4 linked regions of the Styela clava genome follow. The protein of the gene in region 2 purifies or fractionates together with the protein of the main gene of each other region. This does not show direct contact. Links are inferred from orthologs where the notes say so. Each region holds a gene or a part of one and is shown on either strand. Other genes may lie near its edges. The genes, in order: vacuolar ATPase assembly protein VMA22-like, renin receptor-like, V-type proton ATPase subunit F-like and V-type proton ATPase catalytic subunit A-like.

Region 1 (7,516 bases), on a different chromosome or scaffold from region 2:
ATATGATTTTATTGCTTCCATGAGCAGATTGTTCATGAAGCATTAATTTTTGTCGAACATCCCATACTTTAACGGAACAGTCATCAGCTCCAGATGAAATCCGAAGTAATTGGTCTTGACCAATGGTAGGACAGAAAGAACATGTTGTAACTTTATCAGTATGGCCACTCAGGATACCTAAAACAATGATATATTTGGCCATAATAACATTGTAATTAGCACATAGACAGGTTCACAATATACAACATCTGACTTATGCTCATTGCTAACCGAACCCTGGAGTAGTGATGTATAACAAACAAATAAAAAATTACTGTACAAAAATTCTATAAATCAATAACAGTATAGTTAGGTATACCAGTGAAATTCAGATCAATCTAGAATTTGAAATCTAATAATTTTTTAATAGACCGACAAAATAAAAATTTTGTTCAGATTCATTACGTTACACAAAGGGGGAAAATACTGATTCAAACCATAATTTTTCTCCACAAAATGCAAATTACGGAACTAGAAAAAACTGTAACCACATCTTAAAAATCCCATGGAAAACAAATAAAAAATCCCATGAATAATCCTACCATAAATTTCAGCTCTCTTTTGTGTCAAATCCAATAAAAATACCAAATTTCTCGATCCAAATGCAAGAATTCCATTATGTGAGGTATCTATACCTCGAGACTGATACCACACTGGTGACGATGGAAGAACAACCATATTTATACTAAATATTTTACCATAAACATCTAACATACAAAAATTCTTTGATTAGATGTTGTTACATAGTAGAAAAAATGAAAATCTTGAGTATTAAATATGATTCTTTGCAATAATGAATAGTCTTATACCAGGGGTAAATAACACAGGGCATACATGTTTAATGCGGCACACCATGAGCACGAACATGACCCGCATATGGTTTGGTAGGAGGTAATTCTTTATGGAAACAACTGCATCTCAGCTACAGACTCGATTCGCAGATAAATATTTAGATTTAGTGATGCGCATCGCTATTTCTTCTTTGAAGCCCAACATACCAAATTTTAACTTCAGAAGTTCATTCATATTACCAATACATATTCGAAAGTGGCTTGGCAGCAACAACATTATTTCAACATTACACTTTGGCACATATGCTCATTGGAAATGTGTACTCCGGGTATATACAACAACATTTTTTATATAAAAATTCAATTTGTAGTATAGATATTACCACACCAAAACAGGAAAATACCTAAAAAGAGCTTCCCATAACAAACAAATATTGCAAATGAAAATTGAAATTATTGCAAGTTTTTATCAAACAATAGAAGTGTGGTACACTAAATGAAATCTCTCAATGGGTGCTTTAAATTTGATTCACGAGACATAAGCAATGATCATTCACAATAAATATAAATATAATAATATTTCACTTGATTGAAATCTCAGAATTTAACTCTTTAATTTTTGTTTTAGCCAATTTTAATTGAGATTGCAGTGTGCTTATATCACCAATGATTATGGAGGCTTTTCGAAATTCAATTTGGCATTGCCGAAGACTTTGTGGAACAAGCACACCAAACCAATTTAATGGATCAGTTGGGGTTGCAATTTTATCTTCTTCGCTGATATCAATATCAGAAACAGCAGATGGCAATTCATTAATAGAAGACTGGACGTGATCAGTATCATCCGTTTCAATGTTTTTGTCTTCAGAACTGCTATTGCCTACATTTCTTTTCCTTAAAATTGCTTCTTTTTGATCACCACTTTTGGTTTTGTTTTGTTTTTCTGATACTTTTCTTTCATTTTTGTTATGTTGAACTTCAAATTTAGAAACCTCATCATCGTTTTGTTCAACATTAACAGTTACATTTGCACTCATTACAGAAGCATAATTCAGTTTAGATACTTGTTTCATTCCCATGACATATCGTGCCTTTGACATACAAAAAAATCCATTCTCCATACATGTTTGTAACTGCTGCTTTTTCTCGTGAATTTGTTGTATTATTCGCAAAAGATTAAGATATTGAAAATCCAAATTCTGTTTTGAAGCCATTCTTGCGTTTTATAATTTGGTAAAAAGAATGACTTTTACTGAAATAAAACGGGCACATTGTTATGAAATTCCAATATCAGAATATCTATTTTTAGCACCTTCTCTGCTGGATGTCTGCCGGACTGGATGAAAAAAATAAAACAGTCTGACAGTTTAAATAAATAGTGAACCATGGGTGCATGATTTGAGATATTTCTAATCAATCGTATACCAGTATACTGGTATCCTGTAATGTTATATATAGAATTTGGCTGCAAACCAAATTTGGGGTCTCGTGTAGTTTCGTACCTAACGTACTTCTGGTGGGCGTAGCATAACAATTTTTTGATATGTCAATCCTAGGCCCCATCTGACTACGCCATACAAAAATTACGTCACTACAGCACTATGACATCACAATCACGTCATAGAGCTTGCCAAAATACGTACAATCGCCCGAAATGGAATTGGCGCCGACGATAAAGAGCTGACTGACGTTATCGATCTCTCTCCTATTGGAATCGTTGCCACGAGAAAAATAACTGTTTGATTTTGGGTGCTCTTTTGCGTGTCTTGGATGGTAGTTCGAATAGTTTGAAGGGCTCTATTACGTCACTGTGACGTCGTGTTGATGTAATTTTTGGATGGTGTAGTCAGGTGGGGGTTAGGATTGATACGTGAAAACATTGTCATGCTACGCTCACTAGAAGTATGTTAGGTACGAAACTACATGAGAGATGAGACCCGGTCTGTGCATCTACTGCCTACTGGCTTAGAAATTTTTCTATAATTTTTTCGAGTAGACCAGAGCCTGGAAAAGCCGCCCTGGATGGCACTGAAACTATTTTTATTGAATACAGATCCTACCGGTACATAGCTGATAATGTTCCGGCACACCATACAGCATACACGATAACACGAATAAGCGGCTTGCTCCCGCACCGCGCACATGTTTGTGTTGTGCTTCATGCATCTCCCTGCACTTTAACGACATCTTGTGGTTATCAGATTTACTTTCCATTCTCGGTAGGTATTCGTGAAATCGTGAGTATAAACGATTCTATTTTTCCTATTGTTTATTGCTTTTACTGCATTTTGCAAACTCCTGTTATATGGATAATTGCTATTTTATTGCTAAGTTTTACAAATGGCCAATAAACATAAAAGAAAAAAATCATATGATCAATGTTTTTTAAGTTCAGTTTCACTGAAATCACGACAATATACAACATGATGCACAACTCCGGCATTTGTAACCGAAGATCGTATCCGATAACACGCTTCAATCAATGACATTAATGTCATTGCTGAAATAAAGGGCCAGTCGAAATGGGTTATTTGTATCAAAGGATGAAATTTAGTTTTTGGTGAGTTTAATGATTTTTGGGCAGAAGGCTATTACTTTTGTGCATTCCTAAATTTTCTATAAATTCAATGAGATTTAATATTTTATCCAAAATTTTGATATATTTTTATTTTCATTGGAACACGGCAGTTTCCGGTTTAGACAGGACAAGCAATCCGCCAAATGAAAAGGGTGGTTTTAGAGTCAAACTTCTAAGACGCTTTTTGACCAACTGAGTAATACGAATAACTTCTGATGTTGTTGTCATCATAGCGCATTGTGAGAAAAATCATCAAAAATATTACTCAGCACAATCTTCACGACAGTTATTGTATTTCATCATTTTTTAGAAATTAACAAAAACGTTCTCATCTCCCAGCCCACTGATTAACACTCTGCGTCAGAATAATCCAAGTCGAAAATTATAAATAAAACGAAATGTATATGTGGAAATCATTTTATTAATAGAAAAGTGAACAAATAATTTACAGACACGATGAATGATTAATCTAAATTGTAATAATGTGTTGATACAACCACTATATAGTATTATTTGTCGTGAAAAGTTTTGAACATAAAAAGCATTCAATATTAGAAAAATTATATCTACGGTATATGCCAATTGCCATCGACAGTTGCAAACTAATATCTTTCTATAAAAAAAAGAAATTTTAAATACTAGTTCTTGTAAAAATAATAAATGATGGATAAGAACGTATAGAGAGAGTAATGATGTATTTTTATTTATAATTCTATAAATATATATAAAATTTAATTTGCTCTTAACACGAGAGAGCCTAAATGAACCTATCATCTCACTCCATTGTTTAAATTTTGAAGTATGATATTAAAAATGATATGTAAAATGATGAACGGACTCGAAACTGTAATTTTGGGGGCCACCAAAACAAGTTCAATCGGGAGCTAGTACATTGTGTGATGTTAGCTTTCACTCGATCTAATTTTTCTTGCATTTCATCCCATTTTTTCACCGTATTGTAGATTTAAGCGTACGATTTCCTAGTTCAAATAAGCTGTGTCAGACAACCTATTTTCAATATGAGTCCCTGTCACCCCCTCGCTGTACTCAGCTTTGCTGGATCCGTTTCTTTGCGAATCACACTTGTGACGTTGATGTCACCATAGTGCTTTGTGTCGTCATCGGTCGTCGATTATCCTGCAGAAAGTGACGTTAATTGGTATTAGTAGTAAATGGTCTATTATGATATAGATTTTGTAAGAAGGATGATTATAACAACAAGAGATCGTTACTTTGATAGTATCTACAGCTGTTAATGTAGGGTACATGTAAAGATGCGTTGAATACGATAAACAACATCAATTCATTTCGAGATTTCGTAAACACACATTCAGTTACATGCAAACATATTGCTGTATTTTAAACTTTGATGTAGGTCGTTTCGATGTTGTTAGATTGTCTATAATAAGTTTAAGTACAACTCTGATTTGCTTTTGCCTTGGTTCAGAGATATATTCAAAACATTACTACACAGGCAACAAGCTTATGCAAATAGGTCAGCCTATGAATTCAGAACGCAAGCCAGGCAATTAAAATTTGAGCATGACATTCATTAAACGTATAGTAAGTAGTAACTATGGGAAAACATTGAAGTGGATTCCTGCATACATGAAACGTTGAGGATGGTAACAACAATACGGAATTCCTAACCTAAATACTTTTGTTTCTACGACATAGGTGTACAACGTAAGAATTGAGACCACAATGGCGCTCGTAACTTGTTTCAAAATGATGGCTATGGTAACAAAAATTCAATATAATATCTGTATTATCTGTGGAACACTGTGCGTTTTTCTGTATTTAGAAAAAATCATTATAGCCTACAATCAAATACTGTTTGTCATATTGGACACGATAACATGCACCACAGAGTTTCCTTTGGTCAACACTGCGTTTAATAATCTTTGTGTAATGAAGAAGATATTTTTAAGCATAAAAACAGTATCATTAACATGGAGGGTTTCCAATTCTGTTTTAGTCAAATTAGTGTCGCAATGAGGAACGCCAAGCGTCTCCTCCAGTCACACCATGCGTGCTTGCTTTAGCTCATTCGACGCTGCGCGACAATTTAGTGTTACTGCGTAAAATACGTTATATAATCTGTTAGGCCTTGCTTATACCATGCTGCAAGTAAAATGAAATGAGCTTCGGATCGAAAGACGATCTGAGTTAGTTAGTAAGCGTAGCGCGTGCGGTGTTAGTTGTGATAAAGCTGGTAGTTAAACTGGTTTGTTAATGACCTATTATCCAGTCTTGGCATGCACTCCACTGCAAATTACCCACGACTCCAACACCACGGTCACTCATAACTTGACGAAATGTGGTTTTGAACTGTAAACAATACCATATACATGATTCGGATAAATAAAATGGGCTTGACCAAAGTCGATAAATCAAAGACAAAACGGATTTTGAAATAGTAGGTATATAGAATATTACGTGTCATTTCCAAAACCTGGGTGCATGACGGCCACCGGCAGTTAAATTCTTCGAACTAAAAGCAGAGAATGCGGACTTAATGTATTACTTCAATTTTATGACATATCTAACGGTATCATAGTTCAATCACTTTAAACTGAGATAGATTACTTATACACAATCACGTTCCAACAATAAGTTCACAAAGTTACGTAAAATTGGATGTGGTAATATTCATTGCGCATTGGCAAATGAGTAGCACTTTATATTTTTGACGTCGACTGTATATCCTTAAACAAACTACGACTGCACAAATGAAACAGCAAGCCCCTTACCAGGATCAGCCCCTTATGTTTTAGTTGAATTTTCCGGTCTTAATTTATTGAAATCAGATTGCCTTATATTAAACACTGATTAAGACTATATTATTACAAGTTTTATATTAACATCGACTTTACTAATAACATAACTAATTAGTAATAACACATACTAAATATACCTAATTCAATTTGAATCAGATATTTTTAAGATTGGCTGACAAAACGCACGTCAGATTAATGAAAATAAAAAAAAAGCCAAACTGTGTCACAACTCACATCAAGCAAAAATACTGCCTTTTCAGTTAACCATGATAGTTACTGACATAGGCTGCATCAAGTCTGAAATAAATGGATAATATCTCCAGCGTGTAACAATTTGTAACTTGAGTATTGCATATGGAGTAAATAATGAAATGTTCTTACTTCCGGTCTTTTCGGTCGCCATTTTTCTGGAAGGCAACCGCAACAAATACAGAATATGTTCAAAAAAGCTTGTCTGAATCTTTTATTCAGAAAACAGTAGACGACAGGATTGACGCATGTTGAAACGTAGGGCAGAATCTGAAAACAATCAAGATGTTTAAACCTTAGCTTTTGCCAAAATGCTTTCTTGCTACTATATTAAGACAGCTTTATTTATTCGACTGTGTTTCTAACTTTCGAAACGGAAAGTATTTTAAAAATCACTAATCAGTTTTATGAAAGTTTAAACCGTTGAATTCTGGAACAAGCGATAAAAATTTAAAAACGACTTAAAATGTATGATAGTTGAAAATAGAATGTCGAGGCCCCGGATGTCTTCCATGAAAAAATATATATATATTTAAATTCTGTAATTGAATACTACGTTACCTTCTACGTTCAATTGGTTGTATCTGAATATCACGCACAAACACAAAGAATTATGTGCTTTCGTAACGATTAGAACCTGCTTAGTAACAACGAGCTGAATGGGTCAATCCTTTATAATTATTTAATCATAGAAAAAAATTTGACATCAAATATTTGTAGGCTACCTGGATGACAATAATGCCACTCTGTAGTTTTCTTCTGGCAGTTTGAGGATCAAACGATTTCCAAACATTCACGACGAAGGTGGGTGTCCAACACGCGAAAAATAAAATCTAAAACAACACACAAGGAGTATTAGTCATATATACACATTTCCCAATGCAAATTTATCAAAACAATGTGGCCTAACAGAAGAAAAACAACGTGGAGTGTTTTCATCATGCACATTGGGACATGCTTCAATGATCCACGTGACGATTTTTATAAAAATCGTGTAACTTTGCATCTAACTAAAATGTATTCTAATGAATATTTGGTATGTCAACTTCCATCCAGTCAGAACTTACCACAATCACGAT
Region 2 (8,575 bases):
ATAAGTCATATATATCAATGGACATGTAAATAAACTCTACACGCATAACATTACAACTAGTCTTCAACTTACTTGATCAGGCAGCACAAATGATCGAATGACAGATTGACTTGAATAATCAGAAATTAGAGCAGAATTCATTTCAAATATTGGTGGAATGCTTGACTCCAAATTATCTGTTGTGTACTTGATGATGTGCTAAAATAGAAATAATACATGAAATCTAAAGGTAATAAATGGATAAGGAAATTTTAAAAAATCTAAACAAAAAAATGTGAAAAAAGCACTTACACAAATAAGATTTCTGGATACATATTATAGAATAAAATATTTAAAAACAATAAAATATCATGGATAGAACAAAAATACCTTGCTCAAAGCAAAATCGTTCCCTTTTGGAAGATGTAACGTTATCAGAACATTCGCTGTTGGTGGATTGAACAAATCAATGCTCTGAAGACCTTAAAAAAATTATATAAACATTGCGAACCCAAAAAACTAGTATAACGCTTTCAAACATAGCATGTTCTATTAGGTCTTTTGTGGACTTTCAGTTGGAGGACCATGCCTTTACTTTGAACAAATTTGCATGAAAAAGATTTCTAATCGAGATGTTTGACGCTTACAGGTATTTGGCAACAAAATCATTTACACACGATAATATTCTTTGGATCATATCTCAACTTGAAATTCTCAGATACTCATGGTATTGTGGGGTGTATCATAAGGCCATACCTACAAAGCCAACAAAGATTTACTTGTCTGATACAATATAGGAAGCGTGACTGAATGAAAAAATCTACACAAAAAAATTTACAACCGCATCAATTTAAAAATGTGGTTTCGTCATCAAAAGTCGAAATACATCCAATTTGTAAATTGAACTAACAATTGAAATTGCATATCGACAACGTTACCTGGCCATGTTTCAGTGCGATGTAAATATTGTGCAGGCAAACCCATCATGAAATTGATGATTCCCGGCAGTTCGCGTCTTCGAACAGTTTGATCAGTTCTCGGTATAAACTTCATTGTTTTCGGTGCACTTGCAATGTAAAACTCACCAAGACATGTTGAAATGAGCGCTGCGGAAAAACAAATGGAATATTTCATAACCATACTACTGTACCCATATATCAGTAGAATGGTACAGCCAGTTTGCGAACGATTTCATTCAAACCGCTATAAAATAGAAACCAATATTTCTAACCCATTAATTTTTTTACTGTAGGTGATGGGCATTTATTCTACACACTACAACTCGAATTAACTTTCTAAAATCAGGGGTTAAATCTATACAAACCACCAGAGTACGATACTCGGAAGACGTATTTGCGACCGAAAGACCAGTGATTTTGAGACTTGGAAATCGTTTAAGCAGCCATGCATGAAAAAATTAGGCTTCTAATTGCATTTCTGACCGTCAAATATTTTAAGAACACGGTTATTTCAAACACAATTCGCCAAATTATAAACAAAGCACCACATCACAGCGATCAAACACACAAAAACATGATGGTCGCATATTGGTCGACAAAGATATTATCGACCTTTTGGAAATGCGCACCCCCAGCCCATTCCCCCTTCTTTAAATGTAGAAACGCGAACTTTAAAGATGGTTAAAAGTACCACAACTCTACCCAACTGACAAGTTTTATCTTTATATCTCATTCTCTTTATATTTCTATAAATTTTCAAGCTTTTCTACAGGGACAATGGGTAGTTAGCGACATAAAAAAAAGGTTCGTTTTTTTTTTCTTCAAGTCGGGTGTTAGGTCGTAAGTTCGTAACTTCGTTGTTTGTGGCCGCATTTTAGTGTAATTTCGCAGAGCTACGAGGGATAAGTGGACGATAACGCATGAGTAATATCGTCACGGTGTGTTAATTTTTTCGACATTAATTACATTGATGAAGTTGATGGCCGCAAATTAGCTAAGCCACCCTATATCTGTATATACCACTACCACAGCCTGACAGGCTGTGTAATAACTTTATTTACAAATAAATCAATCAGTCATTTATTTTGGTTCTCTGGCATAAACAATACAAAAAGTAATCAGACAAAACAAAATGCAGAGATACCTGGGAGATGGGCATAACTTTAAAAAAGTTAAAAAGCGTACATTGTACGTGCCCGCCCACCAAAAAAGAATAAAACAAACACAGAAAAACGCGATTTACAATCGGGCAGTACTTTGAGAGCAATTTACCGAAAACAGCAAATTGAAGTAAATAATTGAATGCAATAAACTTCTACCTTTTAAATTATAAATGTAAGACGTGTATGTGTAACACAACAGTGCTTTTCATACAAAAACATGGAACAAAAAAAACACTCCCTGACGCAAAACGGTAATGCTGTAGGCCTAGTTCAATTTCATTGCAAAAACAACACAGTGCAGCAGTGACAAAAAATTGTTACTAAAAAAACAAGCTTGATAAATAGATTGAATGTTCGGGTGTAGTATAGTTTAGTACCACAGGTACTTCCAGTGGGCGTAGCATAACGAATTTTGCATATGTTATTCCTAACCCCCACTTGACTATGCCATCCAAAAATTACGTCACTACGACGTCGCCATCACGTCATAGGTCTTGCCAAAGTATAATTCCGATCGCCCGAAATGACATCTGCGCCGCCGATAACGAACTCGCTAAAGCCGGCTATCTCTCTCCTATCGTGATCGTTGTGACGAGAAAACGAGAGAAATAGCTTGCTCGATTTCGGGTGCTCGTCTGCGCGTTTTGGACGACCATTCGCATACTTTGGTAGGCATTATTACGCCACTGTGACGTCAAAATGACGTAATTTTTGGGTGACGTAGTCAGGTGAGGGTTAGGATTGACATATGCAAAAATTGTTGAGCCAGGCCAACTAGAAGTGCATGTCGTACTAAACTATACCAGACCCGAATGTTCCATAGCAGTCTATGCACAAGTCATGGATTGGGGTATCGGGTTCTTTTGTCTTTTTTGATTACATATAAATGATATATACAGATATGAAGAATCCAATTCATGTTTTTAAACTTCCAGTTTTCGGATTTTATGGTTACCGGTACCGTAACTTTTTTTTATTTATTCCTGGAGGAAAATGGCCAATTGCCGTCCTGTACGATGGCAGTACCCTTTTCCTTCAATTTTTCTGGGCAAAAAAGTAAACTTACCAAGACACACAAAAATACGAAGTTCATCCATGTCACACTAGTGATACTTGTATTCGAGTTGGAGACTGTACACAGAACAACAATTCTGTTTCGCAGCAAACCAGTAAAGAAGTCTAAACGGATATTACTTACAGACTTATAACGTCAAGCCTGATCGATAGGAAGCTGACTTCTTAGGATCACGGGATGCAGGTAGGGGTGAACGGAGTCCGTTGTTCAATATTAATGAGTGTATAGGTAGAAGTTAAGTTTATTTCGACCATATTCAGCATACCGGTACCAGACGATAAAATAATTGATAAAAACATATAGGTTAAAACTGGAGATAGAACCAGGAGATAAAATAAAACTTCAAGTAAGGTTTTTGGACGTACAGAATTTGAGTTGAGTTGCCAAAATAGAGTGGTACCGGTTCACTCACCTAAAAGCATCAATCATTTGGAAAAATAGGTGGAAAACAGCAGCCGCGAGCCCCAGCGGCGGCATATGAAACTACAGAGAATGATAACCCTCTATAATAAAACTGTGTATTACAGAGTGAAATGTTTTTTTAAAAAGATAAATAAATTACTGTTGTATAATAACGTAATTGACCTTTCCCCGAGCATCGACTTCCTTGTTTACTTCGTGACATTGGCCAATCAGCAAGATGCAAAAAGTGACGTAACAATGCCCCCTTTTTGCATCCGCTCAGACACTTTTCTCACTCAGATTTTCAAGCGTGATTGTAAACATTACCTCGTTTTCGCGTTTTTGAACTCTATTCGTTAGTTTTCAGTTGTGTTTTGGGAACTTGAATAAAAATCAGATAATTCAATGATCACTCTGTCTTTCTAGGAGTTTGAATTTAATTGCAGTAATAAAAGTTAGTGTAGAAATAGCTGTGATAGACTAGCCTGAAATTCTTTACCGGTACTTTTAAAAAACAGATTGTTGTATGCGATGAAACATAATGATGGTTTGAAACACATACCCCATTTTACAGGCGCCAACTCGCAAAAGCACTCTTAAAATAGCCCTGACAATTTTGCAATGGTAAAGTATAGGGAGAATTTTTCGAGGGTCAAAGGTCGGGGAAAGGTCCATACAGCATTTATTGCAAGCTACGCAGGTTAGATCGATCAAACAATGCGCGGTAAGAGTACAATATCCGATATCAACCACATTCAATGCATCTTTCTGAATATAGGTACCGGTTCTCCACCAACACTAAAACCCAGGTAAGAAAACTTTGTGTAGAAGTAGAAAAGTTGATAATTCTCTTAATCATATGATGAACCACATCCTCTCGTCCGATTAGCAGTCCATGTCAGGTATGGGATTAGTTGGCCAGTTATTTGTTCCAAATGTATTGACTCGATGGTTGGGGAAGTGGTAAGAGACCAGCCGCTATGTGAATCCGCATACGGTGGTGAGGATTCTAGCAATCCTCTCACACACTATTATCCCCAGTGTCGCGTTAATCAGAAATGCAACAGAGAGCGTATTTCTAACGCTTAGCATGATGTGTCACACCGCCTAGCATAATAGAAAATAAATGATAAAAGTTCCTAATTCACATTGCCCCATTAATCCTTTTCTGCCCCATTAATAACAGTACCAAAGTGTACTTACATATTGTCGAACAACTGGGGCCCTAATAGCTAATTCACAACTGGACACAATGAGCAATGATACATTTACTGGTCAATGTTCACACTGAACTGACAACGTAGCCGTTGCATGATTCTTTATAAAACAAATAAAAGTATGTGCTGTCTCCAGCTGGAGCACAACAAATTTGATTCTCAAAGGTTCACATGATATGTGGATCGAAATTGATCATTAGTGTATTCTGAATTAAATTCTCAGATGATTGGCAAGAAGCCATCCTTCTCCAGCGATTGGAAGAGTCTCTCATGAATATCGTTCTTCTAGAGATCGTGAAAAAAATTCCCAGTAGTTGCGTCTGATCTTGTCTGTGTCTTCTGCTAATTCTTTGCATAGCTGTTATGGAAATTTTATGATTGGTCAATATATTATTACATTTGGCAAGTTGCACTAACTGGAAATGTTCCTACAATTTCAAACTCGGTAGTTCTACACAATTATGTGACTGATTGTCAAGGGTCTTCTCCAAATTAAGAAGAAAATAATGTATTGCATTGATTTTTTTATTACCCCAGCGACAGGAAAAATTCAGACTAAAGAAGCCTTTAATAAATGGTGATAGAATAACCAAAATTAATGTTGAATATTTGTTTCATATTATATTCCCATTCTTGACATGGACTGGTAACCAGGCGTCATGCAAGTAAGTCTTTCTTCGAATAAGTCCGAAAATCCTAGCTCAATATCACATACAAATCGAGCACCATTCCGATTCAAATCAACACAAACCATTTTTGAAAATATATCAATTAACTCATTGAATTTTGTGGTGTCCAGTTCACACTATACATAAAAAACATAGGAAATAATAAAAAATTCAACCTCCATCGCTTTGTGCAGTGTTTCTTTGACATCATTTGTTTTCTTATTTCCTAGTTCTTCTTCATACATATCCAACAAATAAGCCGACAGATGAGGGGACTTCAATCCTTCTCCTCTCCATGAGTGAATTTTCTTATTTAATTCTTCACTCCACGTTAAGCCTCGATCGAGAAGAATGCTGTAATAAAGAATAATAATCAATAACCTAAATCACAACAATATTGCTGGTATCAGAGCACCGGACAATCAACCGCCTTATGCCAACAAGAACAAGCCATGAGTTTGAAAAATTTGGCAACCTTGGGTGAAACCCATGATTCAAATATACTATATTCCGAAGTGGTTAACAATTAGCGATTAATAATGCTTCATTTCAAATCTCTCTGTGCCAATATGGTAACTACTGGCTGGCAAATTTGAAAAAATACTCACCCTCTCAAATAATTCCATGCACTTTCGTTCTTTGTGACCATATCAATCTTTTTTGTTACGTATCTAAAAATGTTGTTTCAGAATTTATTATAAAGTGCGCCATCATTTGAGCTCAAATAAAACACATGATTCTAGCTTCATATACACATATTCTCAAAATGCATGGTTTCGTTTCTAGATTAGTGTGGTATTTTATATTGTATTTATATTGATTTTACTGTATAACTGCATGTTATATAACTTACAGTTCATTGAAAAATGGGAAAAAAATGTTTGTTTTACGTAAATTGATTTTCGGCGTATATGCAATTTCAATGTTGATTTTCCTCTCAGAAATTACAAGAGAATTGGATGAATGAGTCTTGTTCATCACACTACCGCTTGGTGTTCTATAAATCTTTGGCCAGGAACCTCTGCAATAAACAGAATATAACCAGACTTACAATATGAGAAATGTATGATCTTACTCAATTTCTTTTTTAACAACTTCGTCTGTTAATCCTTTAGTATGAGAAACAACATAATATCTGTGATTCCAAGCAGAATTGTTGCGAAGATCAGACTCAAGAAATGAATCCACAAAATCAAGTTCACCTTCCCATAATAAATATTCCTGCAATGTATGGAAGGTGATTTTCTAATTATCAACAGATTATTAACTTCATTTTTCAACTTATTTTCAGCCACTATAAGTATGTTTATTTTTCTATTTCAGTTGAATCAAATAGTATCCAGGGCAGAAGAATCATTGACAAAATGAGTAGATCAATTTCAATTTTAAAGACAATAATTCGAGACTTCCGAAATTTATTGTTTCCTCGTCTAACAAATTTATAATAAACATTATTATATTGTGTTCAAAAAGTTGACATAAAACTCTTCATGCAATGCTGTCATTCACACAAAAATCTGCAGTAATCAGATTCTCTATGTATTTTATATACAAACAAATATTGTTATAAACGCAGAAGATAATGCTAAGCTTTTACTTACTTTTATTACCCATTGTCTATGTTGCCATGCATGATAATTTTTATGATCCAAATTCAAAATCTCTGCCGTAAATTCTAATTCTTTTGAGGGGTCCCCTGACCATTCAACCAGCGCTCGTCTGTGATGCCAAACCTGATAATTTTTTTGTTGCTCGGTAATAAGACCAGAGAGAAAATTCATTTCTTCTGTAATGTCCTTTTTTAAATGTTTCAAGAGAACTCTCCTATATAAAAATGAGAGAATGCCATTAATCACAACTGTATGAATTATCAAAATACTATTACTACTATGTAAAAAGAGGTGAGACCGAATACATCTTACGAAATATTGCAGTAAAGAACACTTGGCAATTGGAGGATGACAATGAAATCTCACAGTCAAAATAGCAACCCCAAAACGGATCTTGAAAGTATGATAGAATTGATTATAAAATAATTTAGCCAAAGAGTAAGTGGTTAATATAGGTACGAAAGCATAACTATTCAAAATTGAACAGGATGAGGCAGAATTGTATCCCAATTATAAAAAAAATCAACACGTATGGAGTATTGCTACCCCATTCTGGACATCTTGCTCCAACACCTACACTTGATCAGCCTTATCCAAATTGAAAGACTATGAATATCATTGCTCTAAAAGTAATTTTAAGAATGCACAATCTTAGCCATTGACAAAATATGATGTCATTCTGCCTCTGTGACAGATATTGTAACGAACTTCGTCATCTTAACTTGTCTATCCCATCCCCACCAATAAGGCTTTTAGTCATTCAAAATTAACAGCCAGTTCCCAACCACTGCGATGTTTCAAATCTCAAAAAAAATTTTGTACTGAAAGTATTTTGCTTGCTTTATGGCAAATCTTTCCAGCAGAGGTGTTAAAAAAAGCCTAATCGCATTCTTTCATGGATACAAATGGCTATAACATATAGCCTCTGCAAAAAGTTATGAGAACAACCTTTTGATGGCAAGAAGTCTTCTTGCACATCACTTCGATTGCAATTTAGTCAGCATTTCTCGGCCAGATTTATTAGGTTTGAGACAACAGTGTGTTCCCAACACCTTACATAATACACCAACCAGTTTGATTACAAATATTGCATACCTATATTGCCATACTGTGTAATTTGCAGGATTCATATCAATCGCACTTTTTGTGAGTTCGAGAGCTCGTTCACTTTTTTCGTTTGATTTCAAAACTGCTCGAAAGTAATCAAAGACATCTTTGACTGTAAAAATGGTAACAATTATATAACTATAGGTGGATAATATATAGCCTATCAGAATATTTATATTAATTGGATCCTTCAATCCATTAAGTTTGCCATATAATTTGCCCTGGGGAACAATCAAATTCTTATCAGCATTCTTGAGATAAAATCAAGAAACAAAGATGGGCCTAAAGATAAATTAAAGTAACCATAAAAGTGAATAAAAGAAGGAATACATTTTTCACTGTAAGCAATCTGTACAACTGGGTGAGGTCCATCATCTTGTGGTACTGGTGTTACA
Region 3 (6,347 bases), about 3.8 Mb from region 2:
TCCAGAATTTGAGATACTGTATCGAAAACAATAGTGGCTCAAGCGTAAATATATACTACTACGGCTCAAGTCATACAGTAGGCCTATATATTTACGGTCATACACATCATATATTTCAACCTGCCGTCGGATGGATATAAAAGCATTTACCTATTGTTTCACAGAAAGAGAGAAACGATATGTAAAAGCGGGTAAGCGCTATATTAAGGTCGTTGACGAGTGATGATATTTTTGCTCAAAGTTCCGCCATGAAATATTCTGTTCTGGAAATTCTATATATCTTTCAGTGAAATTCAAACGTGCCCTCATTTGTCATTCATTTATGTGCACTTATTATATATATTCAACTTGTCCATAAAATTGAGCTACGTTTTATTAGTAGGTGAAAATAACATGTCTTTCACGCATATATTCTGGTGGCGATTCCGGATTTATGAAAAAATCGGGAGTGCGGAAGAGACTCGTGCATGAACTTTTTCTTATGTTCATTCTGCGTTTCTTCCGCTGTTAAGTACCCCTCGCAAAATATTCTTTTAACAATCGTGCTTTTTTTTAGCTCTAGGTAGATGGTAACCCTGATAGTCATTCCTTTATTTTCTATCCTATAATCATTTCATCGGTGCGTCCGTGATTATGTGAACGATGACGTTTTTCTTTTCTAATTCAAAACACGAAAATTACACCTCAGATGGGCTTTCCTCCACTTCCGGGCGACGTCACACATTGCATATGGTACCTTCAATCACAAGTTTTCATCAACTATACCGTATTTATCATTCTTGGCCGTATCGTTCCCTCTAGTTTTTACCAAAAACGTTGTTGTTTTTTGTATGTATACTTCCATTTACTTGTTTTTGGTTGACAAATTTTATCTAATGTGTACTATGACTAGTTGCTGCGGAAAACGCAACCCTGCTCATACATACATTCTGTTCTTACAAGCTTGCATATGAGACATCAATTCAACGCCATACTGAAGTGTGAACTTTATTGCACAACTGACTTTAAACAAGAAATGAACTTGAAAACTATCACAGACAAGTATATTTGTATAAAAAGCCTATTATAAATGTCAAGTTAGTTGAATAGTATGGAAACTATTCATCAGGAAAAGTCATTTAATCCTTGTCAATTTTCAACAAATTAGTACCAGTAATGGAAAATTGCATGAAAAATCAGTATTGCCAAATAGCTCAGTTATTGAAAAGTTAATTATTATTCTTGAAGGAATGAAGATTGGAGCAAATGCTTATTAATAAGAAAATGTCCTAGTAAACCCAAACTTATCTGAATAGATTTTAAGGAAATAATATAACAATATGAAAGAACAAAAATATATCTGTGACCATGACAATAACTGCAACATTCAGATATTCATTATTAGGTTTTCATCTGAAATCATCCGCACTGAACATTCCTTTCGCTCGCCTCAATATAGAGTCTTTTGATGGATCGTATGGTGAATCCTTAGATGGAATTTCAAGAATTGTTGGTATGGGTTCATCATGAGCATCTATAATGTACCGTACAACTTCAGCAATTGTTTGGCTAATGAGTACAATTGCAATGTCTCGGCGGCTGAGGAATGTCTTCATCTGGTCTTCAATTTCAGAACTGGGAGTATCTTTATCTACAACCATAAAATTTGGTTGTCTTGTTTTGTTGAGTTCACCAATTCCACCAAGGAGAAATCCTGTGCATGTGTCTTCATCTGCAATCACTGCAAGTAACTTCCCTTTAGCCGCTGCCATGATTACTTTTATTTAACCGTATTATCAATAATCTGTAAACATAAAGCAATAGTTTTATTGCTAATAATACATGGTGACCCATGTTCAAACTCTTTAAATGTTTCAAATAGGAAAAGTATGGCACCAGTATGAATACAAATGAGGGAATACCAGTGATAAGAAAAGATAATTAAAATTATGTTTCAATTTTAATTGCATACTTGCATCATATGCTATTGATCTTACGTTTACTATACGAGACATCGCATTGGCCAAAAACAAACTCAGCTTAACTTGATTAATCCATAATCAATAAGCTTTTGCACTTTATCTGTCATATTAGGATTATTAATCAATTTTCTTATTGAATCAGATTCATTTGTATCAGATAATATCTCTGCAATGTCTGTGTTTTCTTTTGCCCTACTATGTAACAGATTCGATGTGTTGCGAGCTTCATAGTCTTTATTTAAGCATCTGTGATATGCTTCTGTTACTTCTTTTACATTTGGATCAAGTTCAAGTGCTTTTTGATATGCATCCATAGCTTTGTCATATTCACATAATGATTCTAAAGCCGCTCCTTTATAAATGTAACCTTTCACAAGACTGGCATCCTTTTTAACACATTCCTCACAATCTTCCACAGCTTTATCATATTGAAGCAATGTCATATGAACTGCAGCTTTTGTCAAATATGTTTTGGCATCATCGGGATTACGTTTGATTGCTTCTGTGAAATGATTCAGAGCCTTTTCAAAATTTTTAGCTGCAAATTCATCACAGCCCTTTGAATATTCTTCTTGAGCAAGTTCAGGGTTGATGTATGCCAGTCTTTCCACTTCTTCTATTTCTTTTTCACATTGGACTAACTTCTCCATAACATCCGAGGATTTATTTTTTGATAAAGATATAGCAAAGAAGTGCTTGGCCTCAGAATGATTTTTTTCTTTCATATAAGAACTTCCAATACGGCCATATGCTTTGGCAATTAGTGCTATGTCTGCACCATGGTTTTGTCCCACATCCACAGCTTTCAAGCAATTTTCTCTGCACTTTTCAAGCTCGCCTTGTTCATAATACACTGCAGCTTTATTTGTGAAAAATATAGCATTTGTCGCATCAAGTATGATAGCTCTATCATAGCATTCCAGAGCTTTTTTAAAGGCCCTTTTCTTATAGAATGAATTGCCCATATCCTTTTCTGCTATGGCAAGATCTGCATCATTATCTGCCATGATTATCTTATAGAAATGTGACTGAAACACCAATGCCGTTATCACAAATTAATGAAAAGCCAATAGTACATTTGTGTATCTAAAATATTACTACACAAACTTAAAGGAAGAGTATTATAAATGTAACCATGGAAACTGTGGTAAGAATAAACTGGTTGCTGATTTGTTGTTAAGCTACCAACTCAGCAACACAACTGAAAATATTTGGTTTTTCTCGTATGTTATTCTGAGTCATACACACCTTGTAACAATGCATTGGGCGGAGCGCAAACACACCTGTAGCAAAGCATGAAGCATAAACTTTTGACATTTACTATAGCAATAGCCGCAATCTTTACACAATGCTTGAATGCCTATATCAGTATAGGCTATAGGAAACACACGAGAAACACTATTTTTCAACACGAAATACAAATTGTATATTGCTGACGGACCAAATAAGTTAATAGTTTGGCTAAAAATATTTTAGCCAATCTAGAAAATTTATTTTTCCAAGTTATAATATTGAATTTCAAGCCTGAACTGCGATCTTTATATGAAGTAACGTTACCCTACTTCTCAGTAAATTGCATTAGCAGTGCCGTATATTCTAACTCTGCAAATAGACTTAATTATACGTCAAAAATTGGGAAAAATTTGATTTAATACCTAAAAAAATCTAAATTTAAATGAATACAAGAATAGCAGTAGCAAGATTGAAACAAATATCTCTGCTGCTTTTAAATTTGTAGATACTGACAAAACCCAGTTATCCTGAATTTTGAATACTTCCAACTATTTAAAGATATTTTTTCTTGGGTTAGATTAATGGAGAAAAAATACATAACTTTAAACAGGTCTACACTCTCAGACTGCACAATTCATAAATGCAGAAATGTCTGAATGTAGCTTAGCTAGATTGTATTATCAAGATATGTACCGTACCGGTAGGACTAAATAATACTGTTTTTTGAAAGTTCTAGCCTAATCAACTAAAACTTGATTCCCTTGTGAGCCTGACGATCGCCGGGAAATCCACGTTGGTCATGTGATAGACAAAGCAAGACGTCAATGCTCAAATATGATAACACTACGATTCTATGACTAGCGCCGGTTGCGCAAAACGACCAGGACAAACGTGACGCCGGCGGGTGCTGCTGCGCTTGACGAAACAAGAGCGCAACGCACAAATGTAGACTTAAGAACAGCATAAAAGCTATGCTCAAATATATGGACACGTTTACCGATTTCAAGAAAAGCAACAACATTTAGCATCAGTTACCGTATAGCCTAACAATGAATGCAAGCTCCGCTTTTACGAGACAGTCACGAGTTAGTTCAGTGTCATCGCGCTACGTTACGGTACCGGAACTGCACTATCTTTAGAGGTTCCTGTCTTGTGACAGCGAACACAAGTTAGGACATGCATTGGTAACGTCATAAGCGCTTGTGTGACGTCACACCCGCCATTTTAGGTCCAGAGTTCTACCGCTATATGAACCTAACCGTGATTATATCCCTCTTCGGGGCCCTTTATCTTTTACCAGTGGGAAAAATCTGATATTTGGTGAAAGCAATACGTTTAGGTCATATATGATAAATTTTTGAAAATTTTCGACACTCCGACTCCCTGGGGGGATTTACTGGATGTTGCACTAGTGCAATTTCTGCCCGGAAAAGACTAATTCCAAGATATCACATGTATGATGTTCAATCTGCAATACTTTGTAACATGACCAGAATATGTACTACGATGGTGGAAAATATTAATGGGAGTGTCAAACTTATTTCATGGCTCAATTCAAAACTTCAATTATGAATAAAAGGCGCATTAAAATGTAAACAAATGTTAATATAGATCATGTTTTTGCACTCTATGTAGTTTCGCAAATCAAAATATTTAGAAAATGCATATGAGTTGTCTCTTGACACTTTCGTTTACCTATTTCTCTGAAATTATCCTGAAACTTTGAATTTCCATATATATTAAAATGCAAGAATATAGAAAATCTAGATTTAACATCGAAATAATTTTGCATTTACCTGCTGTTACGTATTTCATCGGAGAAAGACTTTTTAGCGTGAAAGTCATTTTGATTACGCTACGCTGCGAAAAATTAGAAACCAAGTTTTTTGGTAGCAGAAAAATCTTTGGCAATTTGTGTGTTTATTTACATTTTTACGATTTCGATATTTTTTGGACTGTATGTGTTCTCTTTCTACTTCAGACTTTCGTTTGAATTTATCGACCGACCCTGCCCCCACTCTGGAAGACACTATAAAAAAAACACTGCCATCGGTAGTTTTCTGCAGCATTTGTGTTCAGACAAATTCCGTTTTTGTGTATACATTTATTGTTTTGCTCCATATTTAGTTTAGATTGGTTTATGAGTAGATTGCAATATGTTTATGGTGTTGTCAAAAATTCGGAGCAAGAGAAAAAACTGTGCTCCCTCGAACGTTGAATTAGGTTCTGTTTGTCTGGGTGAACGGCGCCGCCCTCGGACTTTCAAAACACGACTAAGTTCCAACTTTGGATTTGTTTTTAGATTGCTATTGTCTGTCCATATAAATTCCAACAGTCAAAATGCTGAAATGGTCTGATTTTTTAGGCTCGAAATCTTAGCTACATAAATATCGTTCTAGAAATTACGTGTTTCATCAAGATCAGCCTCATCATATTCATAATTGTAAGTCTCAATTGCCTCTTTATCTGAAAGTGTGGCATTAGAAATACGCGTTAATTCAACGCAATTTCTGCAAATATTTTACCCGTCGGCATATTTACAATCGTTCTGCTAGATCGCTGAAAATACAAAATCTAAATCAATCTGAGACACTTCTCTATTATTTCAACCCCGTATTTATGGCTAAAATACTTGGATTTTATTTGGTTTCAATCTGAAACATATCACTCGTGCATACTTTATTTCACGCTTTCTGAATCTTCTGTTTACAACAAAATTATCGGAAGCCAAATTTTCCCCTACTCGGCAAATTCTCATAATACTGCATTCTAATAAACCTGATTGTACCTTATATGACATAGGAAACTCATAATCTACGTTATCTTCTCAATAAGCCAACATAAATGACAAAACTAAACAGACGAATATTAGCTAATTTAACAACCAAAATCCACTTCTGAGGGAAGATGTTGCACCTATGCTACACCAATTTTAAACCACGCCCTCGTAAAACCACATAAATCGTTCGAGGTTGCAATCAGTTTGTAAATCTTGTGTATACACTATTTTTTTGCCCCGTGCAGAGATTTGACGAATTTGGTGTACAAGAATTGGAATAGTTGCTTAAAATATGACCATGGTTCACCAGCCCAACACGACCACCGGAGACAGCCTCTTGCAAGAGACGCTTGCAGCGTCATCAGGCGGCGGCA
Region 4 (7,838 bases), on a different chromosome or scaffold from region 2:
CCTGCATCATTTGGTATTGAGATGTTTTCCCATCAAAATCAACTTCAAGAACGACATCCTGTCAATACGAAAAGTGTGAGTGGCACCAATGAATACTATGGAGCTTCGCTTTTCAGTGAGTATTTGTGATGGTTTGTAATATTATACATCAATATTACGTTACCATACAGATAGTGACAAGTATTGATTTGATTTTTTTCCAAGTTCAAACATTTTATTGTATTTTTATTTAATTACTACCATTAAAACTATAGACTATAATATATTTAATAAATTGTTATGACATTTACATATAGTGAGATATCTAAGCATGACCATGACAAAAATACCTCTAATTCAAGGATAAATTTCATTAGCCGCACAAACTTAATTCATCTTCAGGTTTACTAAAAGCACATTAATGCAATTCGACAGATCAATAAATGCAACTGAAAACCACATACTGTGACATCATATTCCCCTGGTTCTGCAATGTAAGTGACTTTGCCATGACATTTTGGAGGCAACATCAATCTTTGTTGTAAGAGTGAATTTTCTACTACAGTTGCATAAACATCACCTCCTGTTATATGACTGCCGACCTGCAAAATGAGGAAATGAATCAACAATCAAGTTGTCAATACTTTGAAAATGTGTTGTATTGATCCTCCGCACAGTCAATAAATTTAAAGCATAAAAATTTCAAGCTCAAACACACAAGCCTTTGCTTTTACAAATCATGACGAAATATATCATACATCATCCTTCATATAAGTTACTTTCCCAGTAATATTTGAAAATCGAAGTTCCTTCTCAGATAATACAAATAGTATGATAATAGTAGTGACTTACATTCATATTGATATAATTTTCTTTTGTAATATATACTGACTAAAGTATTTAAATTAAAATTGGGTACTCCCGTAGTATGTGAACCAAGATGGCAGACACCAGAACGTAGTATGCATACCAGGTTAGGGTTTAGCCATAATTTCAGGTACAAACACTACGGAAGTCACTTGTTTAGTCCCAAACCCGTAAAGCCGTAATAGAACTAAAATAAGGAAAATTGGAATAAAATTATGGCCCAACCCTAACCTGGTACACATACTACAATCCGGTGTTCGCTATCTTGGTTCACACACTATGGGAGCACCGGAAATTGTATAGATCTGCCTAAGAGCATATCAGAGTGAATAGTCTATTAAAAGCAAAGATTTCTTTTCATATTTTCCACGCTCATTTCAATAAAACGAAATCTGATCTACCTGGATATTTTTCAAAGGAACAAATTCCCATCTTGCTTTACGATCAAGTGCAGTTGCATTGACACCTCTTGGGATATAAATTGAATCTGTTAAATCCTTAATATCTCGCAAAGGTCGTTGAATTCCATCATAAATATTTCCTGAACAACAATAAAAAAAGAAGAATCACAGAACATCCCTCAATAGAAATATCAAGCATTCATGTTTCATCCCCATTTCTAATAGTGATGTACCAATTCAACTTTTCTCACCAATTCCAATCTGAAACTAGTGAAATAACGCCAATATCTATGTCAAATACCGATACATCTCTAATTTCTAATGCCTTTTTGAAAATTCTTGGTTAATAAGAATAATATAGGTAATCAAAAAGGTGTGACATTTCTATAAGCTCTTTGAACACTTGCCCTTCCTTTGAGATCAAAAATCATCTTTTTATTTCTGTAATTCTTTATATCAGGGATGGCGAACCGTTTTCAATGAATGGGTCAAAAATTATATTTTTATCGCGGAACAGAAGGGAGTGGGTCACAACTATTAAACCTATGTTACGAGTACGAAAACACGCATATGAATTACCAAAAACGTTTAGGATGATGCGGCAAACTATTTCGCGGTTCCAAAGAATTTGTAGGTAATTACACTCTGATAGTGTTATATTTTTCAATCAGCTTTCAACCACATTAAGGCACTTTTACACTGCCCGATTGTTAATTTAAATATCTAGATTTTTATTTGAGATCTGAAAGATTTCGTTTTTTCAACGGCATTGTAGGCGAAAAACTAATAAAATTCAAAGTAGCATCTAATTCTCAAATAACCCCTGAAACAGTCTGCAGATGCTGCACTTCCAAAAGAGGCAAGACGTTGCGAGAAATGAACAGATCAATGGCATTGTTATGTCATAAACTATGTCAGAGCTGAATAACGGTTCACATCGGTGCAGACATGCAGTCAAGATTAGTGGTTTTTAAAATTACCATACCGACCTGAAAATTACCAATTTGAATATGAGCGATCGCGGCCTTGCCCAATTGATGGTACATTATAATAGTTATTGTTAGATTAATTTAAGGCCGGTTTTATCAATTTTTATCCCTGATATGTTAGCTTTTTTTTTATTCGTGCCTTGGCGGGTCAGTCACTTTGTGACCAGCGGGTCAGTGGTTCGCCATCCCTGCTTTATATTATAGTACTATGTTCTGTCGTTTTGCTAAGTTGATGCACCACAAATTTACAAATACAAAAATATAGACTCATTCAAACCTCAAAAGAGACAAAAAACTGACTAGTCACTCATACTCATGAACAAACCTAATATTCCAGGACCAAGTTCAACAGACAGTGGCTTCCCAGTTCGTAATACAGGATCTCCAACAGTTACCCCAGCTGAAAAATGAATGTATATATTTCAATAAATTTTTTTGATGATAATGTGCAGGAGAATTGTTCACTTATGGGCGCTACATAAGTATGTGTACCAATTTGGATTTTGTTTGCCCATTTTACATCAAGTTGTGTGAAGGGACTGGAACCTATGGGCAGGGGGATATTCACATGGCTAACGCAGACAGTCCCAGAACTCGTGATAGAACTAAAATAAGGAAAATCTGAATAAAATTATGGCCTAACCCTAACCTGGTACACATACAATGGGAGTACCGACCAATGAAATGAAATTTGTAATACCCAAATAAAAAGTTATTCCTGTTCATGCAATTTGAAATATTTCACTTACACGTATCTTCATATACTTGAATTGTTGCTCTGTCGCCATCAAGTCTGATAATTTCACCAACAAGCTCAGATCGACCAACTCTGACAAGTTCATACATAGCAGAGCCAGACATGTGCTGAGCTATCACAACTGTAAGATAAAGTATAGAATATTAGTAATGTAGTTACAGATTGAAAATATATATGCCATAATGAGAGTAAGACTTATTATTGAAACTCATCTAGTTCGCCAAAACTAAAGTTGTATTAAATATTTCCAGTTCAGATTTCCCAAAACTATTTTCTAAAGCGTTGAGATGAAGATGTACTGATTCTAGACAGTAAAATGTATTAGAGGGGTTTACCTGGACCAGATACCCCAAATACTTTTCCGAGCATTCCTTCTTTTTCAACATCTTTTATTTTGGGGAGTTTGTTAAAATCCATGATTTCCGAATAAAGATTAATAGAGTTGAATCTTTGCACAAAAAGTGTCCACCGCTAAATACACTATATGGTCAGAACCTACGAACAATCGATATTAGAATAAGACTATTAAAAGCAAACGAATAAAAACTGATTATGAAATCAGGAGAGCAAACAACACCTTCAGACCTTACATAAGATTTAAAAAGTTCAGAATATAAGATGGAAGATTTTGCCAAGAAGAAGAGAACCGTACGTGTTCACTCACCTAAACACACATGGAATAAGCTCGCGTTAACATAATGCAGTAATGAACAATAAAGATAACTACAATTTCAATATATTAAACCTCAAAACCCCAATTCTCATCTATTTCAGTATTTGGTAGAGATTTTAATCAAACCACATTCATTACTCTACAGCTCTAGGTCAACCAGCCAACATACCGGTACACTAATATTGTAATATAGCCTACGGTAGTCCACGTAAACATTACTAACGAATAATTTTTGAAAAATAAACGAAGGCAGTGCGAAACTTGGATTGTAGGTATTTCTCACTTCAGCACCATCTCAAGCATCAAGTGCAGTCCCAATCTTTATTTTCTATATAACGTGCGTAGCCAGCTGTTTTACTCGTGCATTTTGCTTAGAATTGCTTTTAAAATCAAATCACCGGCTGTCCGGCACTGATCTTCAGATCTTCGCAACCCTAACGCCACAAGAACAAATTAAATAAGAATGATTTATCGATCACGCATCATTAGCTTCTCACATGCCTGTCACGAGTTTTGACCTCCCGCTGATAAACCAGAGATGTTTCCTTCGAAAGATGAATGTGGTGCAACCAATTGGTTTTTCAAGAATGAAAAATTTGTTACGATCCCACATATATCAAGTCGTTAAACGATGGTTCCATTGATTTATAAAACTAAATAGGTGGATACCAAAAAGTACGACCGTCAGCTTCTGTACCGGTACCGGTACGGTAACTTTGTTGCACGATAAGTGTATTTAGATTTTTAACCGGGGAGTTAGCCGCCGTGACGAGCTGCTCTACACCCTATCCATCTGGAACTTAGGGAACGTTTTTGTTATTACATCGTCAAGCACCTCTCCCATAAACTGATATAGGGTGACTGAAATCGACCCTTGCATAAAAACATGATTTTGCACATCGGTCGGCTGCCTTTTCACCCTCGTAAATGTAAACCACATACGGTACCGGTACCCTAGGCCTAAACCACAATATTATTGGCGTTAATCCTGTTCTCGCAAGTATTACATGATCTCAACAAATCAATTATAGAGAAATGTTAGCTTGAATAAGCGAAGTTTATTCGAGCATGCAAAGTTCATGACGTGCCAACGAAGCTTGAATTTGTGATGTGGTGTCTCAGTAGTCAACTGCGGTAACGTCTAGGCTACCTCTTTGCAGAATGGGTTTCAAGTCTGGAATTTTCGTGCTTGTTTTAGGTGTTGCGATCGGGTATTTTGTTCGAGATTATGGAACAGAAATTGAAGCCGCCAAGGCCTATGTTTTCGAATCGGGCTCAAGATTCATGGATTCTTTCCAACAAAAACAAAATAAACCTGCTGCCAAAAAAAGTGCGCCGGCTTCTGAAAAGTCGTCAATTTCGGAAAAGACCAATGATCGGCTGTTTACAAAAGAAGAGCTATGGAACCACTACCGCGGTGGAAAGGATAGCAAGGGATTGTATCTCGCTATATTAGGAAAAGTTTATGATGTTTCAAAAGGGGCTAAGTTCTATGAACCTGGCGGAGGATATGACTTCTTTGCTGGTATGATCCTCAATTTAGTAATTAATGATTCGTTTCAATTTCTAAGGTACATACTGGTATACTGTTCAAAATAACATACGGATTCTAAGCAAAGACAATAAAACTTTTGATCACATCATTTCATTGTCAAACTTGAAGGTAGAAATTGACCGTCAATCCCAAGTGCAGAAGTGGCACTGAGTCCAGCAACTAACTTGCACATGATCAGTTATTAGGTCGACTAAAACATAATTTTGTTTTGATGATATAAGCGATGATAATTTGAATATTAGACAAGCAGTATATCCAACCTCAGTTGTAGATATTCAATTTGTATTAACAAGTTATTGCTACATGTTGCTTCTTTTGCTTTTAGGTCGAGATGGAACTAAAGCATATAGTACAGGTGATTTCACTGATAAGGGGCTCACTGATGACCTTACTGGGGTAGGCGCTGAACATTTCGGGGAATATGAAAATTGGGTTACATTTTATGAAGAAGATTACACGTATGTTGGTAAGTTGCATAATCCTATTTTAAATATATTGGAATAATGACATGCTACTTTTAGCTAATGGTAACCGCTCTATAAGCTTTGATTTAAATCTAATAAAATGCTCATAGGGCTAACAATGCCAAGTATCATATCCCAAGATTACCAGTATTTACTTACATTCTCTTGCTTTCATTTTTCTTTGTATAACCAATATGTGACCATTTTTTCTATTTTATGCAATTTAGGAAAGCTAATTGGGAATTTTTATGATGCGAATGGACAACCTACTGCAGCATTGAGAGAAGCGCAGAATAAAATGATGGAAGCCAGGAAATTAAAGGCAAAAGAAGAGGAGCATGAAAAGTTGTTTCCAAGGTGTAACTCAGAATGGACGCAAGAGACGGGTTCTAGAGTATGGTGTTCAACGAAAAGGTAATAAAAGTTTCAAAATAGATTACAAAACTAATGTTTAAAAATGTGACTTGAAAACTGTAAAAGCTCAACAATTTCATACTACTAAAATATTTTGTTTTTCAGTGGGGGGATAGAAAGGGACTGGGTTGGGGTACCAAGGATGCTCAAACCGGTTGGAGTAAAGAATGCGTACTGTGTATGTATTCGTGATAGCGGGCCACCTTCATTGGGACACACAGAAGTTGATGACAATAGAGGAAACTTAGATTATCCATACCTACAAGAAATCAAAGGCTGTGATCCAAAATCATTTTCATGCAAAATTTGAATAATGTATCAATTGTTTTTTTTCATAGTTGCAAGTAGCATAGTATGTTTTCTAATTCTGTTGCAATATGTTATACGGTACTACAATATTTGTTTGTTACAGGCTTTCACTACACTCAGCAACAACATGTTATTTATAGTTAACGAGACTGAATATTACAGAAGTGCCTTGGCCCTAGGATTTTCTATTGCAATATGTCTCACTACAGGACTTTTTTTACCTGACACCCAAGAGTAATTAACTTGTCCTGTCTCATATTGAAGCTTGTTTCGATTATTGCACTTTTACACAGTACTGTTATATACACTTTTATTACTTATTTCTAGAAAAATAAATCATGCAATGAAATAAATAATAATATACAATGTTGTAGCAGCATTTAATACATTTTTCCGAATGAATTATACTCTGCAGAACCATCTGGTTGATTCATGTTGCTGTGCATTATAGTTTTGTCTCTCATCCGAGCCTGGAATTACAATTATGAGTTGTTTTTGGTTTAGGTGGTCTAAAAATAGATAACCAGGTTGTTTGTACACATATGAATGGAGACATACCTGCATTAAAATATGTTCAATTACTCCGATTCTTATATCCATTTGTGTAGATTCCGTTTTCAATCTATTGAGTGATTGCTTGATACGGACAAGTGGAGCTAAATGCAATACAGTGTTTCAAACTTATGTTAGGCTACTATACTCGGTACAGCCTTCAACTGACTGACCGGGCCTGATCTTGAACCGCATTTAATTTATTTTGTTACATTAGGCTCGTGAATGTTTCCTCTTATTTTGATTTATAGTTTCAGAGGTTGTTTTATTAGTTTTAAATATTTGGATCACTCTATTCGAAAAGAACTTTGGCGAATTAATAAACGTCTTGGTGGATCGCTTTTTTATTAATAACCTAAATACTGTAAGCACTGAAATAAATTTAGGCGTATTGTGAAATATATTTTCTGAAAAGACCATAACCCAATAATTTTGGGTTTTGTACACAGATCTTTGGTGAAAAATGGTTGAGTAGCCCTGGCCTAAAGTTCGGTATTGTGGACTCATTTCGAGCTTCCATGTCAAGATAGAAAATTGATTTCAAATGTCATACCTCCATCGGTCATGCTGCTTCCTCTATCTTCCATCTCATGTTTAACTTTTTCCAACTCCTCTGTAACTTCCGCTAATGTTCTGGAATGTTGAGTCACTCCTCCACTCCCTTGTCTGTATTTCTCTTTCGTCTGTTTAAAAAAATGAGATCAGCTTACTGCATTATTTTTCAAATCAGTGTGACCCATTGCCCACAATTTCCTGATGACGACTGTGGTTTAAACTTGTTATGTGGAAAATATGAAAAAACATTCAAAGGACAAGATTAGATGAAGTGACAGGATATTATGCTCATATGCAATATTAGCTATGTCTGGTAATTTTTA

The links.
Region 1: the proteins of renin receptor-like (region 2) and vacuolar ATPase assembly protein VMA22-like purify together in Homo sapiens (affinity purification with mass spectrometry; 3 studies listed by BioGRID and IntAct, counting the BioPlex papers as one, with this or other methods). This does not show direct contact. The link is inferred for Styela clava from reciprocal best matches to the Homo sapiens genes ATP6AP2 and VMA22.
Region 3: the proteins of renin receptor-like (region 2) and V-type proton ATPase subunit F-like purify together in Homo sapiens (affinity purification with mass spectrometry; 3 studies listed by BioGRID and IntAct, counting the BioPlex papers as one, with this or other methods). This does not show direct contact. The link is inferred for Styela clava from reciprocal best matches to the Homo sapiens genes ATP6AP2 and ATP6V1F.
Region 4: the proteins of renin receptor-like (region 2) and V-type proton ATPase catalytic subunit A-like purify together in Homo sapiens (co-immunoprecipitation; 3 studies listed by BioGRID and IntAct, with this or other methods). This does not show direct contact. The link is inferred for Styela clava from reciprocal best matches to the Homo sapiens genes ATP6AP2 and ATP6V1A.

What each region holds. Positions count from the first base shown.
Region 1 is NC_135263.1:13,922,731-13,930,246, forward strand, and holds vacuolar ATPase assembly protein VMA22-like, read right to left. Parts: upstream 2,281-7,516; 5' UTR 2,045-2,280; coding exon 1,412-2,044; 3' UTR 754-1,411; downstream 1-753. Other genes in the region: gem-associated protein 5-like, read right to left, coding at 1-177, 582-753; cholecystokinin receptor type A-like, read right to left, coding at 5,641-5,739, 6,570-6,707, 7,163-7,270, 7,505-7,516. UniProt on the Homo sapiens protein: Accessory component of the proton-transporting vacuolar (V)-ATPase protein pump involved in intracellular iron homeostasis.
Region 2 is NC_135256.1:9,500,188-9,508,762, reverse strand, and holds the start of renin receptor-like, read right to left. Parts: upstream 3,370-8,575; 5' UTR 3,199-3,369; coding exon 3,168-3,198; intron 1,086-3,167; coding exon 918-1,085; intron 462-917; coding exon 370-461; intron 199-369; coding exon 73-198; intron 1-72. Other genes in the region: protein farnesyltransferase/geranylgeranyltransferase type-1 subunit alpha-like, read right to left, coding at 5,064-5,153, 5,640-5,817, 6,072-6,134, 6,539-6,684, 7,065-7,287, 8,169-8,292, 8,511-8,575. UniProt on the Homo sapiens protein: Multifunctional protein which functions as a renin, prorenin cellular receptor and is involved in the assembly of the lysosomal proton-transporting V-type ATPase (V-ATPase) and the acidification of the endo-lysosomal system.
Region 3 is NC_135256.1:13,317,814-13,324,160, forward strand, and holds V-type proton ATPase subunit F-like, read right to left. Parts: upstream 1,885-6,347; 5' UTR 1,752-1,884; coding exon 1,389-1,751; 3' UTR 972-1,388; downstream 1-971. UniProt on the Homo sapiens protein: Subunit of the V1 complex of vacuolar(H+)-ATPase (V-ATPase), a multisubunit enzyme composed of a peripheral complex (V1) that hydrolyzes ATP and a membrane integral complex (V0) that translocates protons.
Region 4 is NC_135253.1:4,236,820-4,244,657, reverse strand, and holds the start of V-type proton ATPase catalytic subunit A-like, read right to left. Parts: upstream 3,533-7,838; 5' UTR 3,411-3,532; coding exon 3,329-3,410; intron 3,115-3,328; coding exon 2,986-3,114; intron 2,637-2,985; coding exon 2,562-2,636; intron 1,388-2,561; coding exon 1,248-1,387; intron 582-1,247; coding exon 444-581; intron 59-443; coding exon 1-58. Other genes in the region: neuferricin-like, read left to right, coding at 4,828-5,191, 5,547-5,687, 5,913-6,099, 6,205-6,409; intraflagellar transport protein 57 homolog, read right to left, coding at 6,789-6,878, 6,967-7,064, 7,514-7,643. UniProt on the Homo sapiens protein: Catalytic subunit of the V1 complex of vacuolar(H+)-ATPase (V-ATPase), a multisubunit enzyme composed of a peripheral complex (V1) that hydrolyzes ATP and a membrane integral complex (V0) that translocates protons.